Oryzias latipes: one gene and its partners. The protein of the gene in region 2 purifies or fractionates together with the protein of the main gene of each other region. This does not show direct contact. Links are inferred from orthologs where the notes say so. Each region holds a gene or a part of one and is shown on either strand. Other genes may lie near its edges.

Evidence for each region.
Region 1: the proteins of ubiquitin-protein ligase E3A (region 2) and psmd2 purify together in Homo sapiens (affinity purification with mass spectrometry; 4 studies listed by BioGRID and IntAct, with this or other methods). This does not show direct contact. The link is inferred for Oryzias latipes from reciprocal best matches to the Homo sapiens genes UBE3A and PSMD2.
Region 3: the proteins of ubiquitin-protein ligase E3A (region 2) and mapk6 purify together in Homo sapiens (affinity purification with mass spectrometry; 3 studies listed by BioGRID and IntAct, with this or other methods). This does not show direct contact. The link is inferred for Oryzias latipes from reciprocal best matches to the Homo sapiens genes UBE3A and MAPK6.

Annotation. Positions count from the first base shown.
Region 1 is NC_019871.2:18,699,566-18,705,626, forward strand, and holds the start of psmd2 (26S proteasome non-ATPase regulatory subunit 2), read left to right. Parts: upstream 1-2,210; 5' UTR 2,211-2,276; coding exon 2,277-2,399; intron 2,400-4,140; coding exon 4,141-4,197; intron 4,198-4,285; coding exon 4,286-4,450; intron 4,451-4,544; coding exon 4,545-4,666; intron 4,667-4,795; coding exon 4,796-5,020; intron 5,021-5,145; coding exon 5,146-5,304; intron 5,305-5,416; coding exon 5,417-5,561; intron 5,562-6,061. Other genes in the region: hdac10 (histone deacetylase 10), read left to right, coding at 1-102, 190-221. UniProt on the Homo sapiens protein: Component of the 26S proteasome, a multiprotein complex involved in the ATP-dependent degradation of ubiquitinated proteins.
Region 2 is NC_019860.2:926,416-932,307, forward strand, and holds the start of ubiquitin-protein ligase E3A, read right to left. Parts: upstream 3,962-5,892; 5' UTR 3,687-3,961; coding exon 3,610-3,686; intron 2,822-3,609; coding exon 2,777-2,821; intron 1,267-2,776; coding exon 962-1,266; intron 864-961; coding exon 1-863. Other genes in the region: RNA polymerase II degradation factor 1, read right to left, coding at 5,423-5,777, 5,857-5,892. UniProt on the Homo sapiens protein: E3 ubiquitin-protein ligase which accepts ubiquitin from an E2 ubiquitin-conjugating enzyme in the form of a thioester and transfers it to its substrates.
Region 3 is NC_019861.2:13,629,646-13,635,518, forward strand, and holds the start of mapk6 (mitogen-activated protein kinase 6), read left to right. Parts: upstream 1-2,022; 5' UTR 2,023-2,206; intron 2,207-4,416; exon of another isoform or gene 4,417-4,594; intron 4,595-5,325; 5' UTR 5,326-5,873. UniProt on the Homo sapiens protein: Atypical MAPK protein. Phosphorylates microtubule-associated protein 2 (MAP2) and MAPKAPK5.

The DNA.
Region 1 (6,061 bases), on a different chromosome or scaffold from region 2:
CTCCATTGGGACAGCTTCCGGCTTCGTTGAAGGAGGATGCTGAAGCTGTGGAGAGACTGAGAAGCAGGCTGCAGGCTGACTGGAACCTTTTGCTGGCAACGGGTGAGAGCACTAAAGAATCTACTTTAATGTCAGGCACATGAGCGGAACATCCCTGCTCTAACTAAACGGTCTCTCCTCTAAATCCAGCACCAGAAAATGGAGGGACTGATGAAGGTTGAAGAATCCCTGCTCCTGTTCTACCCCTACGGCTTCACCCTATCACTACATTCAGCCCTCCTAGCAGAGATACAGGAGAAAAAAATAGTGCCTTCAAATCCGGAAGTTACTACCGCTGGATGACGTCATGAATAGTCGCCAATCCTCTTATGTTGGCGCTCGGAAAATAAATAACATCATTGGTTTTAACTCTCTGAAAAGTCATGCAAAAACAAAAACTCCTTCTCCTTCGCCCCACAAGCACAGCGTGGAACACCCTACTAGCAGAGGGATAGCCAGCCCCGAGTTGCTTTGGTTCCTCCTTAAAAAACATGGTCAGAAACCACTATATCTTCAAATGCCCCTGCAATTGGATCATAATGGAGGAGCCAGAGGGGTAGGGAAGCACTATGGATTCGGCCAAACTCGCACATTTCGGTCCATGAGTCCAATTCATACCTCTGATATTTTTGGAATGCCGTCTGCTTTTTGCTGAAATAAACAGAAACCACAAGTGATTCTGTTCAAATGTTTGTCATAGTATGAAGTAATATTTGTGTCGCTCCATTGAAAACAAACTCAAATTTAAATTCAAAATGTCTTAAATTGATAACAAAATGTTCAGTTTTAAAAACAAAAGTTTCTAAGTAACAAATAAAAATGTGTTGTCTTCAATTTCACTATCTTTCTCTTTGTTTTTGCATTCTCAACTCTGAGGTGACTATGATATACAGCAAGAGCCACCAAACCAGCCAATCACAGACGAGCAGGACTGCTCGCAGATGATTGGGTATTAGACTCACTTTCTCTCCTGGTTCTCATCAATGAAACAAGGCCTATTGGAAATTGAATTCAAATCTTCTGAACCATGAACTCTTTCATTAAGATATAAAAAGAGCAATTGAAAGCTTAATTAAAAATGAGTCATTAGCAAATGACATAACTAAATTGAAGTATGTTAGATATAGGACACAGTGCATTGCTATCTCACATGGTAAAGCTCATGAATCAATACAATAAACAAAAAGAAACTGAAAGTACACTTGCAATAAAATACAGTTAAATGCAAACGATAAACAATAGCTAATCCTTTTATACACTTCTTTGAACAAAATGTTTGTTTTCAAGGTCAAGAGAGCAAAGTGGATAGAGAAGGGTGAAATTTCAGCATATTTTTATAAACTAGAAAGAAAGAGACGAGAACAAAATGTAATTAAAAGCACTTGATTATTGAACACCAAAAATGTACTGATCCTGTGAGAACTTCAAAGGAAACCTTTCATTTTTACAGCAGACTATACTCCTCCTCCTATTGAAAAGCTGATGCTAAAGATCTCTGACTCTATCAAGGAACAATTAAGTGCTTAAGTTATATAAAGCTCCTGGCTCGGATGGCATAACGAGTATCGGTAACTTCTACAAGCACTTCTGGGATAATCTAGGATCTAATCTACAATATGTTAAAACACTCCAATAGACATGATAAAACAAGGGATAATTACCTTAATCCCTTTTCTGGCAAGTCTCCACTTTGTTTCCTGATGGTTCCTGATGATTACTTGATGTGTGATTTGTAGTCATTTCTGGAACAATGCATTGACTTTTTCTAACAACAAATCAAGATTCTCTTGGTTTTGATATTTGATCTGTGATATGTAATAATGAGATTTGAAATAATGCTATGTCTTTTCACATAATTAAAATGTACTTTGTTTTTCTTAATTCTCATGTTTTTCAGATGCCTTCTCCTGCTCCTTTTTAAGCCAATTGCTTTTGATGAATTTAATATTTAATTCCCTTAATGTGTTATGTACAGTATAAGTGTAAAACATCTGCTATAACTGTCAAATAATTAAAAAAAATTATTTTATGCTTATTCTATTGTTCCAAACATGAAGAAACTAAAAATTAAGGTCTACTGTTCGCAATTGTGGTCATCCCATTGACAGGTTTTGAGACATGCTTGCTAACCGCCAGGAGGGGCGCTGGAGAGTCAAAGACGATCCTCTTTCAGCACCGAAGAAGTCAAACGAGAGTCCACATCCGCTAGCTAATCAATCCTTCACAGAGCCGCAACCATGGAAGAGGCAAAAAAGAAAGAGACTAAACAGTCTGAAAAGACTGACGAAAAAGAAAAGGAAAAGGATCAGGGACCACAGTCATCCGGGAAGGATAAAGAAAAGAAAGAGGAGCAAGAATTGGTGCGTTTTTCTTTTTCTGTCATTCAGACTCAGAGATGTGCTAGCTAAGCTAACTCTACAGGAGTCAGCCTCTTATTTGGCTTAGTCACTGCAGGTTAGACAGGCCGACGTAGGCGGCATTTACATACATCAGTCTCGTAACTTAGTGATTATTGTAAACGTTTTAAATACAAATCAAAAAATTCCGCCCACAAGGGTTATAACAAGAATTGATATGAATCTCTAAGTATGGGACACAAGGCTCGTGCTAAGAACCGGTAAGCTAACGTTAGCTTCCAGTTGTTTTGTTCGCTGCCTGCACTGTCATCCAAGTTAGCATTGCTAGCATCTTCAGTTACCCTCACAGTGAGACTCAAAACCAACGTGCCGCCGAACCCAAGCGGATATTTCTTCCTTAAAAGATTCTGTGTTAGTTGTGAAACTTACCGTTCTTTAACTTGTCTGGTATTGGGACATACATAAACAATTATGACACTCAATAATACTAAAAGTGCAGATATTGAGTTAAAGTTGATTAATCAAATAATAGTTACATTTAAAGTTGATGATCAAGAAAATATGAACAGATCTAGCACTGTGGGATTTTTTAAAATCTCATCACGTTTATATAATTTAATTTGTGCTTTGCCACAAAAGAATATCAAGTTTTTATTCTCTGTCACAGACTCTTTTGCACTATGAAGTATAATTAAAAATTGGTAGTGCATATCAATATGTAGTCAAAAGGGGGCCTAAGTCTGGGTCTCCCTGCACATCCAGAATAAAAATCTGTCAGACCACCTGTTTGAATCATTAATAGCTGATTTGCTATGACAACCACTGAAGGCATGTGCCAAAAGGTGAATAATAACCAGGAGTGTAACGATTAATCAATTAGCTAATTTATCCAACCAGATTAATCTGTTTGAGGCAAAGTGTTTGTCAAATTGAAACGACTTAATAAAAAAATTCTAAATGAAATTAATCGATCTATAATGAATTTTGGAAAATACCATATCATACAGTGTGGTAGTATGTTCTAATAATGTTCTGTTTGTATTAATAGCTAATGGATAAACAACCGTGGGCTGAACTTTATGAAACTAAAATGTGAATGGATTTGTTATTCATTCTTGTTTACTTATTGTACACATTTAATTTACAATTGAAAACTTCCCCTGCACCGTTCAGTACCCAGACATTTATCTCTGAGTCACTTGGGTTGAGATTTTGGCTAAAAGATGTCCTTGATGAAATATACCTCAGTGAACTGGATCCAATCGGATTGTTCAAAATGAACCTAAATCGTATCGTCAGTCACAAATTCTGATATAATTCGAATCATTGTTAAAATGAGTTACACTCCTATTAAAAAAATCCTCTTTTGTCATGGCGCTTAAGAAACATCCAAATGTTTAGTATCAACATATGGACTCCTCAACATCACCGCATATGATTGCAAAGTAAAAACAATCCTATAAATGTATTTGGTATCATTTTAATGTCTTTATTTTGGTAAATTGATTAAAATGAGAACACAGCTTTGCTTTTGAAGGGTTTCCAATCAAAACAAAATCATCTTTGTAGTTGAGTTTTTTTCAGCAGCACAATACATTTATTCCTCTAGAAGTACAGATATATTCTTTTACCAACTCTTGAGGCAAAAACAAAGGCTTGTCAGCCAGTGTGGGTGATGGAGAACAGCATGTCTGTTTCGGGTTTTTGTGATCATTTTTAGTGATTTATTTTTTCTTCTTTTTAGTCAGAGGAAGACAAACAGTTACAGGAAGATCTGGAAATGATGGTGGAGAGGCTGAGTGTAAGTTCTGAACAGGCTCAACTTTCTTTTGTCTGTTACAATCTGATCATTCTTGCGAACGCGATAACTCTCGTTTGAACCTGAACAGGAGAAGAACACAGCTTTGTATCGTCCTGCGCTGGAGGAGCTGCGAAGACTAATCCGCTCCTCAACCACCTCCATGACCTCAGTACCAAAGCCCTTGAAGTTTCTGCGCCCCCACTATGCCAAGCTTAAAGAAATCTACGACAGCATGGCTTCTGGGGAAAACAAAGTAAACCTCTATCCGGCCTGAGAACTGAAATATGTCTTTCTTCCATCTTGAGTTTACATGCACTAAAGTGAACTTTTCTTTTCAACATTTGCAGCATTTTTGTGCTGATGTGGTGTCGGTGCTTGCCATGACCATGAGCGGTGAGAGAGAGTGTTTAAAGTATCGCCTGCTGGGTTCTCAAGAAGAGTTGGCATCATGGGGTCATGAGTATGTCAGGTAAATGAATGAAGTCGGACTACCTCACTGTAACAGTCCAAATGTCGTATTATAAGTCTACAATATAACGTGTTTGGGGTTTTTTTTGTCGTTGCTTGCTTCTATCTAAAAGTTTTCTGCGTCTTTCAGGCATCTTGCTGGAGAGGTGGCTAAGGAGTGGCAGGAGGTGGAGGAGAATGATAAAACCCAGCAGGAGACGCTGTTGAAACTTGTTAAGGAAATCGTGCCCTACAACATGGCTCACAATGCAGAGCACGAGGCCTGCGACCTCTTAATGGAAATCGAGAGGCTGGACATGCTGGAGGATTACATAGATGAAAACGCTTATGGCAAAGTCTGCCTTTATCTGACCAGGTTTGTGCAGAATCATACTTGGAGCAAATAAACCAATGGTTGTATTCTTGTGTAATTTCTAGAGCAAAGTGTGGATAAAGTTTGAGTCAAGTACAAACATTTGAATTCTGACTTGTTTTCTTCAGCTGTGTCAGTTACGTTCCCGAGCCAGAAAACTCAGCACTCCTTAGATCTGCCTTGAACATCTTCAGAAGGTTTAACCGTTTTCCAGAGGCTCTCCGTCTGGCTCTGATGCTTAACGATGTGGAGCTGGTAGAAAACATCTTCACGTCCTGCAAAGACATGTAAGTTCTGTAGAGCTCCGCTGCTCCTGAGGATTACTGCACAGTTGTCTTCCGGCTCACAGTTGATGTTGCTCTTTCTAAAACGTACCCCTGGCTCTTTTTGACTTTGCAGAGTCATCCAGAAACAGATGGCCTTCATGCTGGGACGCCATGGCATGTTCCTCGAGCTGAACGAAGACGTAGAGGACTATGAGGACTTAACAGAGATCATGTCTAACGTTCAGCTCAACAGCAACTTCTTGGCCCTGGCCCGAGAGGTAGGAAAGAGAGGATTGCTCTACTTCTAGTAGTAATAGATGACTGCAGTTATTGATCTGTAAAGACCCGAGACAGCTGTAAATGTAACTAAAAGACTAAAAGTGATCTGTTTTTGCTGTTATCTAATCTCAAAGACGCCAACCTCCATGTATGCACCAATGATGACAGTGTTCGTCTGTGGTTTATTTAACACCTTTGGTTTTTCCTTTTTTAATTAAAACAGCTTTCTGAGCTCTGCTGCAGCATAACAGTCTGCAATTAAGTAACAAAATAAATAAGCAATGATAGTTGGGTAATGCACTGTAACAACCTTTAAACTGTTTTCTAGAACAATGGTTTGATTTAAGGATTTGAGTCCTTGAGACGCTTTAAATTTGTTGCTAGGACTGACCCAAGTAGGGGCTTTAACCTGGTCTATGTAGTTCCTTAGACACAAACTGCTCTGAAATGTTTAACGTTTTGAGGGTCTTTACTTATTTTGTCGGCTCTGGTGATATTT
Region 2 (5,892 bases):
CTCCTGCAGCGTGAGCTCGCTGGACTCCGGGATGGGCTCGTCGTCCTCGTCCTCGTTGTGCTCCACGTCCAGGTCGCCTCCCAGCACGTTTGCATAGTAAACTATCTTCAAGCACTTGGTGGACGCCACAACCGCGTCGTCGTCGTTCACCAGGTTCCGGCTGTTGAACTCGTTGCTGATCACCTTGTAGGTGATGAGCTGCTGGAAGGTCTCCATCATGCGGCGGATCTGCTCGGCGCTGTAGTGCGACCAGAGGCGGGCCAGCTTGGCCTGAGCGGCCAGTGGCAGTTTGCTCATGGCCTTACAGAACTGAGGCAGCGCGATCTCCAGGTACTCTGGACTGTGGAGGTTGCTGTTCTCCATCACTATAACAAACAGATTCAGATAGTTCGGGTCCCGTGAGTACACGTTGTGGTACGTCAGGTCGCACTCCACGTTGGGGGAGAGGTAAACCAGTGCGTTCAGGAAGGCGGCCTCTATCTTCTCGTTGGACAGGAGGCGCTCGTAGACGCGCCGCACGGCTTCAATGTCCACCGAGACCTCGTCCGGCGCCAGCTTCTGGACGTCGTTGTCTCCCGAGGAACCCTCGCCCGGCCGCGTCGACGAGGACGGGGAGTCCTCCTCCATGGCCGTAGCGGAGCACGCCGCTGCCTCCTTCTCGTCCTCGTCCTTGTCCTCGTCCTTGCCCTGGAGGGACTTCAGCTCCTCCTTGGTGTGGGGTTTGGACCGCCGGAAGCTCTGCACCAGCCCCTCGGCGCTGGAGAAGACCCGGCCGATTACTCGGATCAGCGGGGAGTAATCCTCCTTCTCCCCGCACATGCCCAAGATCTCGTACACCTTCTCCTCCGTCAGGTAAGATACATCTACGCGAAAAACAGAGCGGGTGAAACCGGTAGAACAGCCTTCCCGACAAGACTTCACCGGTCGGAACACGAAACCGGAACTTTGGGCTCAAGCTCACCTTTAAAATTTTCCCGTAGCGTGTGCGCCTCCTTGTGGTTCACCTGCTGGTCGCTGGAGGCAGAGTTGCTGTGCGTGCTGCTCTCCAGGTAGGTGGAGGCGGTGCCTTTCTTGGAAGGGTGCGGGTCACAGAGCTTGGCGTTGACCTTGTAGAGCTCCAGCGCCTTGACCGCCGCCGCGTTGTTGTCCATGCGCGTGAATCCCACCGAGGAGGCACACCAGGGGTTGGAGCAGCACTCATTCCCACAGCCTTCCGTTAACTGGTGGTAATAGCGCTCTATTAGATGTTTGGCGGCTGCTCGCTTCCTGCGTTCAGAGGAAAAAATCAGAGATTTCGGATGTGAACAATACTTTGATTGACAGCAGATACATTCACATTCTGCCGTGGCGCTCGTCTTCTATCAAAGGAGACATCGGCCGCGTCTTCAGGCCATGGAGCGGCGAGCTCCTAGTGAATGAATAATGGACACAATGCTATGTGAGATAAGTAGGACCCAATAACCGTTATCGTTAGTACAGGAAGTACAAAAACCATGTCATTGTGTGAGGACACAGGGTCTCCAGAGGTTAAGTAGATCTGAACACATTCTGTTCAGGAGACACAGCACAGGCCAGATTTATTGACGAGGTCAACAGCCAATCAGGAAGCAGAACACAATGCACTGAACTCATAAATATTTTAGAAGCACGCTGAAAACAAAAACAAAAATCAGCAAAGCATCAAGACCGCGAGGGACCTCCAACACGCTGAAGACGTTTGACCACGTCCTGGTCCAGACGTTATGAAACGCTCCACACAAATGTCGGTGGATCGAGACACGCTTCGTGCACGCGTGTACCTCAGCACATGTTCTTATTATAAACCGGATGCTTCGCCTGGACACCAAAACCGATAGTTTTTCTGCCTCATTTGTACACATTAAAAATAAATCTGTTTACGTTCACTCCAGGCTCTGAAACACTCCTACCGACCACTTCCAAGAAGTCTATGGGCATTTTGGGCTTCCGTGTTCAAAACTCCTGCGTTCTTAAGCTAAAGAAAGCTGATTGGAGAGTTGTTGGTTCCATTTTTGGACAGTTTTTATAACAACAGATCTTTCTACCAAAACGTTGGGCGTTCAGTAACGGTTCTGGTGACCCCTGACCGATTCATTTACACCCAATCGTACTACACTTCTATAGGACCACGAAGGGACAGAACCTGGTTTATGTTTAAGCTCCTCTAAACGGAACCAGAACAGCATTCTAAGTTTGACATAACTGTTGGTTATTCTAGGACAGGAAATGCAGAAGTAAGAAATATCAGACAAGCAGATTTCTGTTTAAAGAACACAATAATCAGCACTAGAGGAAATTTTCAGTATCGAAAGTAAAAGCTCCTGTTAGAAACATCGATAAGTGGGAAAACTACAGCAGTTTCTGGTTCTACTGCAGCTTTTGAGGCCCAACATGGAATCAAAGACGTCCAAAGATGTCGTCCAAAGATGTTCTGAGCGATCGCCCGCCCCTGAACCCCGGACGCCCAAAATGCCTCAAAAACGGCGTCTGAACTTCAGAGAACGTTTCAGCGTCCACAGCAGGACGCATAACAGAGCGGCCCCTAGCACATCTCGGGTACAATACAGAATTCCTGACGCTATCAGCGTCTTCAAAAAGCAACGGCTCAATTCTTTCTAGTAAAAACGTAATAAATCCGAAGTGTTAGTCGTGAAAGCAAACAGCCCTTTGATGAACGCACACAGACGTGGGGAACCACAGGAACAGACGGACACAGAACGGACATCCAGACGGCTCTGGGCGCTCGTTGGGGACTTACATTCGGCTTGCTTCTGGGTTTTCTACGTCAGGCTCCTCGTGTTCTCTGAAGGAACAAGAAAGAACAGATCACACATATGAAACGGGTTTGGACCGCGGCGTTTACATGCACCCCACTGACAAAAACCCTAAAAACGTCCACCGATTTGTGGCTTCGTTAACAAGAAGCCAGGCACTGAAGGATGTGCAGGTGGAGCCATGAGGGTCTTTCCCACATTCCTGGAGGCTTGGACAAAAGTTCCAGCCTGATGTTTCTGCGGGGGGGATCCAGATGGAGATGATGGGATGTGGTTCTGGCTCTGCAGACCTGCTCCCAGACTGACAGGAGGACCACAGCAAGCCTCCCAGTGTGACATGACAACAGCCCGTGCGTTGGTAGAGATGTTCCCCTTTAGAGGACGCAGTCTGCGGGCTGCAAACAGCAGCAGGAAGCGTGTTGTTAGCTCCACGGAGTCAGGGTGCAGCAGGTGGAGAACCCCCCGCACAAAGACCGGGTCCCTGTTTGAGGCTGGAACCAATCCAGTCTTGGAGGGACTTTCAGCGGAAAACGTCGCAGACTGCAGGTTTCTGCCTGGCGTGACTGAGCAGGCTAATGCTGTAGCAAACATTAGCAGGCCCGCCGGCCGTTTTTTAGTTTCATTTCACGCGCTTCCTACTTTAAAAACGTCGTATTAAACGTTTCGTGATTGAATTAAAATAAATTCAAAGCTGCTCGAAGTGTTGTCTAAACAGATTCAGCGAAAACGCGGAGCTCCCGCGCGGCTAACAGCGGGGAGCTAGCTAAGCTCCCGACATGCCCGGCAATCCCCGACTCTTTCCTGCCCGCGTGCCCACCTGTCAGCTCCGCTCGCCGGGCTGGTCTGGGCCTGTGGTGCCGCACACTCACAGTCCTCCTTCTCGTCGGGATTCATACGAGGCTTTCTCCCCGGCGGTTCCTCTGCGGCTGCGGGTGGCTTCGCTCGGTCCTCTGCGGTCGGTGAGCGCCCTCAACAGCACGGAGGTTTCAGAGCAACGCGGAGGCGGTCCAAGCGGGTCCACAACCGAGCTCGATTCACGGCCTTCTTCCTGCAGGTTCGATCCTCCTCCGGAGAGCTGCAGCCATGTTGACTCTGCCGTCAGCCAGCGTCCCACAATGCTCCGCGCCGCTGCCTGAGCGCGTGCCGGCCTGGATCGTTACTGAGCGGGAACGGGACTCGAACAGGACAGCAAGAAATGAAGAGTTCATCTCATTAAAATGAAATGAATCCAAATTAATTATGTATTTCTAACCAATTTAATGTAATCTGTTTATTTTTCTTAAAATTAATTTAATTCAATTCTTCCAAATCCTCATCGTGTTAAGGTCTTAAATTGAGCCTTTTTGAACATTAATATAAATTCATTTAAAAAAAATTTAATTAAAAAAAAATATATATATATCTATATATATCTATATCTATATCTATATATATCTATATCTATATATATATATATATATATATATATATATATATATATATATATATATATATATATATATATATATATATATATATATATAGATATAGATATAGATATATAGATAGATATAGATATAGATATAGATATAGATATAGATATAAACAGTTGTCAAAGTCTGAGACCCTAGATCTGGAAGCCAAAACCTCAAAGACCAGAACCACAGAAGTCTGCTTTCAGGCGCCCTCTACAGGCTGCAGCCAGAACTGTCAGCCAGTGATGGAGGCGTTTTGGTTCTGTATAAAAGCAGAGTCACACAGCCACTACGGGCATTTTGCGCATTTTCCACGTATAAAAGTTTGGTCTTTCGTGATTTAAGCGTGATCATTTTTGTCATTCATCAACATTTGCAGATGTCCACTGAAGGTTTCAACCGATGAGTCTTTACGTGAATACAGCACACATATCACGTTCAAATACGTAGTTGACGCACAAATTACTAATGAATTGTATATTAACAGACAATAATCATGTTTGGTTCATGTTCTTTGTTGGTTTACGAGTTCTTTGTTGGTTTATTCGTACTTCTTCCGCGGTTTTAACCTGGTTCATTCGTGATACATTTATGAAAATTTCACGTAAAGACCACAACTTTTCTCATTTTTTCCACGTTTATTCACCATCCATGCAAACTGTGAGAAGAGAAACCCTCTGGCTTGTTCAAATATATTTGACAATAGTTATTAATTGTCCGTTGGCAAACATCGGTTTCATAAAGCGTGTTTTTTTTTAATCAGAAATTTTCCAAAAAAAGCTCCTATTTTGTCACCGACTGCTGTCGTTGTTTAACCTTGAAGATTTGACAAACAACAACAAACTATGCGCTACTTGGAAGAAAAAAACAATCAGTTAAGTACACACACACACACTATAATACACTTAAACCAACCATAACACCAATACACACATAAACACAACCACAACACCCCAGCAGACACACATACACCAATACACACACTACCAGACAAACACCAACAAAAACACATACCAGCACACACACAAATACACCCCCACACCCCCAACAGACACACTATTAAACATACAACACAGACACATACACACAGAACCCACAGATTGATTGACAGTCAAATAAAGCTTTATTTCAAATCAGAAGTTACACGTTACAGAAGATCTGGACCGCCACGGTTCCTCAACATCTCCTCAGATCCAGCTGGAAGGTTCTCTGCAGGCTGGCGATGCTGGCGTCCAGAGCCGCCAGGCCGTCCCTGAACGCCGCCTCGTCCCTGGTGTCAAAGGTGGAGGAGGACCTGGCGCTCCAGGCCGACCACAAGGAGGCGGAGTCACAGAGAGACGGGGAGCGGAGGCGCCGCGCACACCCGCCCACCAGGTCTGTGCTCTCTCTGTCGCTTTGACCGGACCCGCCTCCAGGAGGAGGTGACCTGAGCCCTGTCTGCACGTGCTCAGTGCAGGGCTCCGCCTGCCTCAGAGAGTGGAGGAAGCCTTTGATCCGGTCGGTGGGAGTGTCCGCGGCGCTCTGAAGGAGGCTGGAACAGCAGAAGACATGAAGCGACCGTGAAGCGACGGCTTTTGGAACCGAAGTTCTCCACTCAGGGAAACCCAAACCTCTGCAGCTTCTCCATCTCCTTCAGGCGGTGCTGG
Region 3 (5,873 bases), on a different chromosome or scaffold from region 2:
CTTTTCCCAATGGCAATTTTTGTCTGCTCCTGATTCACCACAACTTTAATAAAGAAATACTCAGAAATTTAGTGTTTATCTTAATTTTCTTTTGATGTCCTCCATCGTGAGAAAATGCTTCAGGAACACGTTAAAAACACCAAAAACACAGTTTTCCTCTGAGTGGGTATTTAAAGGTCTTCCTGTGCAGGGTTTTTATTACATTCTGCTATCATTCTGGGGAGAACATTGCTTTTTAAGAACATGAGTTGTGTTATTTTGCCTGCTTTTAATCATATTGTGAGGTTACTATCTTTTTTTTTTTAAATCCTATCTTTTTATCACATTTTGTGGATGCTGGTCTCATCCCAGAGCCAGTTAAATTATACAATGATTGAGAGGAGCCAACAAGCTGTTTCCAGGTCAGTGGTGGCAGAGTTGCATGTTGCATAATGATACTGTTACAGCCTACTGACACTGTCCCTTGCTGTGAACCTTTCCAACACTCATATGAGAAACCACGTGGACACTGATTTAATAGTCAGACAGAGGTGGTTTCTCTGCTTTGCACTGATCGTATCACTGAAACAAAAGGAGAGGAAAAATCTAGGAGTGTATGGAAATGAGAGGAAACTTCAAATCAGCTCTGAGTTGGACATTTCAGTCTAGATTGGAAGTTATCCAGTCATCAATCTGACTCCTTTAATTGTGGCTTCCCTTTGATTGAATCACTGAGTGGTTTTTACACTTGCATGCTTCCCCTCTGTAGCAATACTTCCCTTGCAACCTTTTAAAGCACTCAAGTTTAATCAAAGCAAAAGAGGGTATGCAGAGACAATTACTCACAGGACCACACAAAAACGTTCTCATTTCTGGTCCGTTCTGTACTTTAACTTCAGGCCCTGGAAGACCGAGGGTTATGTAACTGCAGAACTCGTCTGGGAAGAAACTAAAGCATCAGAGCTCACTAAGAACCAATTAACTGCTGATCAGCAGGCAGGTACTGTTGCTTCTTTAATCATAGGTACAATTCCTCTGATGTTCTCATGCACTTTAAACAGTGACTAACAAATTAACCACAGCCAGTATTTAAAGCCTGGTTTATACTGTGTCTTTAATAAACATCTCAAGAAAAAAAAAATGAAAAAGGCACTGAAAGTAAAAAAACCCACATTTGTTCTCAGACATCCCTTCACCAAATGTTTTGGTAACATACAGCTTGGTAAAGTCTGGTATAAATATCAAACAAATGTGCATGCACACATCTCCCTAAAGCCCAAACACAGCCACCTCTGGAGGTGCCAGGCCCTGCTGCAAAAACATGACTGAGGAGATATGCCAGAAGGGCCAGTCTAACAGGCAGAGCACAGCTTACGGACGTTTGTCAGAGAGTGTGCTAAGTCTGTTTTGGTGGGAGGTGGAGGTGGTGGAATGGGGGGGGGGGTGCTTAAATCTGATTTGTACAGCAGAGAAAGAGGAAAGGGAACAAACTGCTGTTGCATGACTTTTCATAAATTCCCTACTTCATGAACCCCCTGTTGGTGCTGAGCATTAAAGCAGGCAGTAAAGCATGGACACTCGCCCTCAGAACACAAACCCATCAAAGTGTCATACTGTGCAGATGATCTGCATTCTCTGTTCAATGGCTAATGAAAAATATTTAAAACAGTGCACCTGCATGTGACAAGATGAAGGTTTATCAAGTATTTTCTTTTTAGAGCAAGGTGGTTTAAAAATCTTTTTTTTTTACTGGAATATTACAAAAAAATAAAATGCAAACATTAGGATTCTACAGGCTTTCAGCACATTCAAGGTTCTGAAGAATTGCCCCATTTTTTTAAAAAATCTATTCAGGAACAGAAAAGACTTAAACCTTTGAGAAAGTTGAAAGGGCGATGAGACGAGGTGTAGCAGAGTGAGACAGGGGAAGATGTGGCAGAAGCTGAAAGTAGATCTAACCCAGGGACAAGCCATACACAGAGCAGTCTCCTCCCCTGCCCTGCTGAGCATATATTAACTTCCCATGGAGCTCCACCTCACAACTAGAGACACATGGAGTAGGATAACACTCAGTTGAGTCTCTGAGAGTACATTTATATTGACACTGGACTGCATTGCAACTCTGATTATTTTGGACTAACTTTTCCTACACTGGATTTACTGTCTTGGTTGGAATATTGACTTTTTTTTTTAATCATGTGGTTGTCCCTGGAGAACTTCAGTCCCAGTAAGTAGTTTTTTTTTTTTAAATTGATAAAGCCAAAGTTCACCAAGTCTTTGTGTTTGTAAGGAGATAACCACAAATCAAGAAAACAGATGAAGCACAAAAGAGATAAGGTGGAGGCCTTGGGAGAAGAACTGATACACTCCTGAGGTGGCTGTGTGTTAATTACATGTTTATTAACATGACACAACAATGATGTGCATGTCTTTGTGGGCCGTATTAGATGTTGTCTGTCCAATAAACAAGACTTCTGACTGCAACAGAGTCTCTTTAGGAGTTAGAGATTACTCTCTTCGTCACTAAGTGGCAAAAATAGATGCCTCTTATGTGTTGGGCCATGTCAACTGTTTGTATCTTGATGTAACTCCAGAGGTCGGCTGCCCACGCTGATTGGGAGACAATATTGATTCTCAGAAAAGACATAATTTTATCAAGAAAGAAAGAAAATTCATGTGACTGAAAAACAATGCAGGCTGAAACTTTCAAGCTTTTAAGTTTGGATGTCCAGCATGCGCAGGGCAAATGGAGAAAAGATAAGCACCTTATCTAACTAATCTAATTCTAAGGTATAAATGTTGCATTTCTTTCAGTTTGCGATTCCTGTGAATGTGGGCTAAATATCAGAGAATGGAATCACATGAATTCCCTCTGATGGAAGAATACTTCATATGGGTGGAAAAGTGCAAATAGTTTAAAAGTTTAATCAGAAAAAATATATTCAGTGTTCTGCAGACCACAGGCCTGTAAATGATGGAAAACAGAAAACTGCTGAGTGCTAAGCCCATGCTGCATTCATTTCACTTCCCTTCTCTGTTACCTTTTTAAAAAATATACTGCAGTTATTTGCTGGTAAGTCAAAATATCTAAATGAATATTAAGATCACCTGGAGAACAGGATGGATGTATTCATACAGGGAGTCTCTCATCCTCTGCCGCGCCACGTTTACTCCGCATGCACTTTCACTCCTCCATCGCATAGCCCATCCCGGCCTGTAAGAGGCATCTGCATTGCCAGGCACATGGGTTCTCACATGGTCTGCCTGCGGATGTGACTGGAGTCTGATGCAGCTGGATGGTGGCTGCTTGCACGCCCACCAGTCCACGCAGACATCCATAGCATCCACAGACTGCGGACCACACAGGATTTCATAAAAGAACACAGACGAGTGGTCTTTCCTTTCTTATTTAGCATGGGATGCCTATAAGCCTTGTAGGTTAAAGGAGGGACAGGTTCGGACTTTCTAAATCCGCAAGCTACAGTGAGTGACACCAGCCAAGGATTTTTCTCACTGACAAGACTAATGCAATACTTGTGCTATAATCTGGAAATAGCATTAATATCGACCAAAGGACAAAGCAAATACCCTGGACTATAATGCTAAATCAAACAAGTTAAATGAAAAAAAACAGGAGAACAACCAAATTATGTAATCTTTTTACATTTTATAGATGTTATTGTTTGTTTGTTTTTAAAACTCGGGACATTTAAAGACCAAATATGTGGGAAGACCCTTATTTAAAAAATTAATATGATTTTTAAATACTTTAAAATTTCTAAAGAATACAATGCATGCTTTTTTCTTTACTCTCTTTGAGCCCTTTTTGATTTTCATTATTCTTCTGGTGGACTAAATATGTTTTCCAGTGATGCCCCTGGTGACGTTTGGCTTTGCTTATTTATTCATTTGGATTTTTTACACTATAAAGTTAAACTATAATGTGTGCAGATCAACGATTTCATTCACAAATCTTGCATCGTTGAGCTAAATTTTAAAACTACCGCTGATCTACTCCAGACAAACGGTGTGAATGGCTCCTGCTGCTTTCAGGTGCTGCTCAAAACACATTTGCCCACGTTTTGCATAGAAGAAGCAACAAATATTTAATTCATGTAAATTAGCTATAATTTCATTTCAGAAAATGATATTACAAGATTAATCCAGTCATATTTCAATAATACTCAAACGGAGCTATATCACGCAAACACGAGTTTACCGGCTCTAACACAGACTGAGTGGTGCATACTGTATTTATTTGGGGGTTGTAATTGTAAAATTACGTTTTATACACAACATCTTTACTTTAACTAGAAATACATTCTAAATCAGCTTCTTTTTATAACTTTATATTGCCTTACAAATAAATGTTTTTGCAATAGTCTGTAATTGCTCAGATTTGCGGCAAATAAAAAAAGAATACTGACGACTCATCTATCAAGTGCCTTTTTTACCCACTGCCCCTAAATGCACCATAGTGACGTCATCCCCGCCTTTCTAAGTCAGCCTGAATGGCGATTGCAGTAGATCCGCAGAGCTTGGGGAGCGAAGCGCACGCGAACCTGCTCTCGTTTAGCTTAAAATAGTAACCGGAAAAATGCTGCGAATACGTACTGTAAGTAACATACATTATGTCGATTACTATTAATACCATGTGTATGATTTTCTGACACTCTATGTTCTATTTTTGAGCGTTTAAACCGAGGTCGGCTTTGTGTTACTAAGCGATGGAAAAGCCGTACCACGTAGTCAAAAGCCTCCGCCAACAACGGCTCCTTTGTTCACGCTAGCCGACGGTTTCTGCTTCATGATTTGTCTGATATTTATGGGTTATTTGTCGAAAATGTTTGTCTTATTACTTGATTCTGTGTACTTAATATTGTATCAGTTGGGATTATTAGGTTTACTATTTTATCATTCCTAATCGACAAAGCCGCTTAGCGGCTTGTCACTTCGCTAGTCGTGTCTCTATTCCGCCGGGCGCTTTTTTGGCCTGGTGAAAATGGTGAAATGAGTTTGTTATAAAGGAGATTGATTAGTCGTAAACCTATGGGGCTGTATATATTCTGGATTTACTGTATTTAATGAAACGTTTGTGGGTTTTTTCAGACCCTTCTTAAATTTACCTAATCTTGGAAACCGGACTAGCTAGCGCCCACGCCGGGTAGGGGAGGGGCCAGCCTCTTTTACGACATTCATGTCTAAAAGAAATCCGGTGATCGAGGCGGTTGGCTGTTTTGGCACTAGCTTAAGAAAAGACGAATGAGTGTTTGTGTCAGACTGTAGGAATGATGTCCTCATGTTCTTTTCTAACAGTGTTGTCCGATTCTCTTTCTTTTGTTTCAGGTTTTACTCAAGTAAAATGGAGGATAGTTTTGATTGTGACTGTGGCGAACTAGAGCCACCTGATCACTGAGGGTGGATCTTTTTTTTTCCCCTGTAAAGATTAGGTCAGGCCCATTTCCATTTGACAGATCAGGTGAATCAATAGGATAGGAAAACAAATTCAGATATATATAGATATATATATTAAAGAAACAAAAACAAACAAAAAAATCATATGAAGCTGCTCAGGACCAGTCATACACTGAATGTATCTGCACTGTGAAGATGCAACTACAGACTTTTATAGTTTAATATAGCTTTCCCCTTTTTCTTTTCTTTTGTTTTATTTTTTACTTTTTAAATTGGCCTCATAATTCATTCCATTGCCGTCTATAAACACTGGTCGAATGAAAGTTTTTCAGTTTAGTAAACCAAAATGCACACAATTGGAGAAGAAACTTTTATTTTAAGGGTTTTGGCAATTATTCAACATGGAAGGAAAGTGTGAGTACATACCAGTGTCCCATATCTGACAGTGACGGCTATCCAGGGGGAATTGGTAGTTGTCT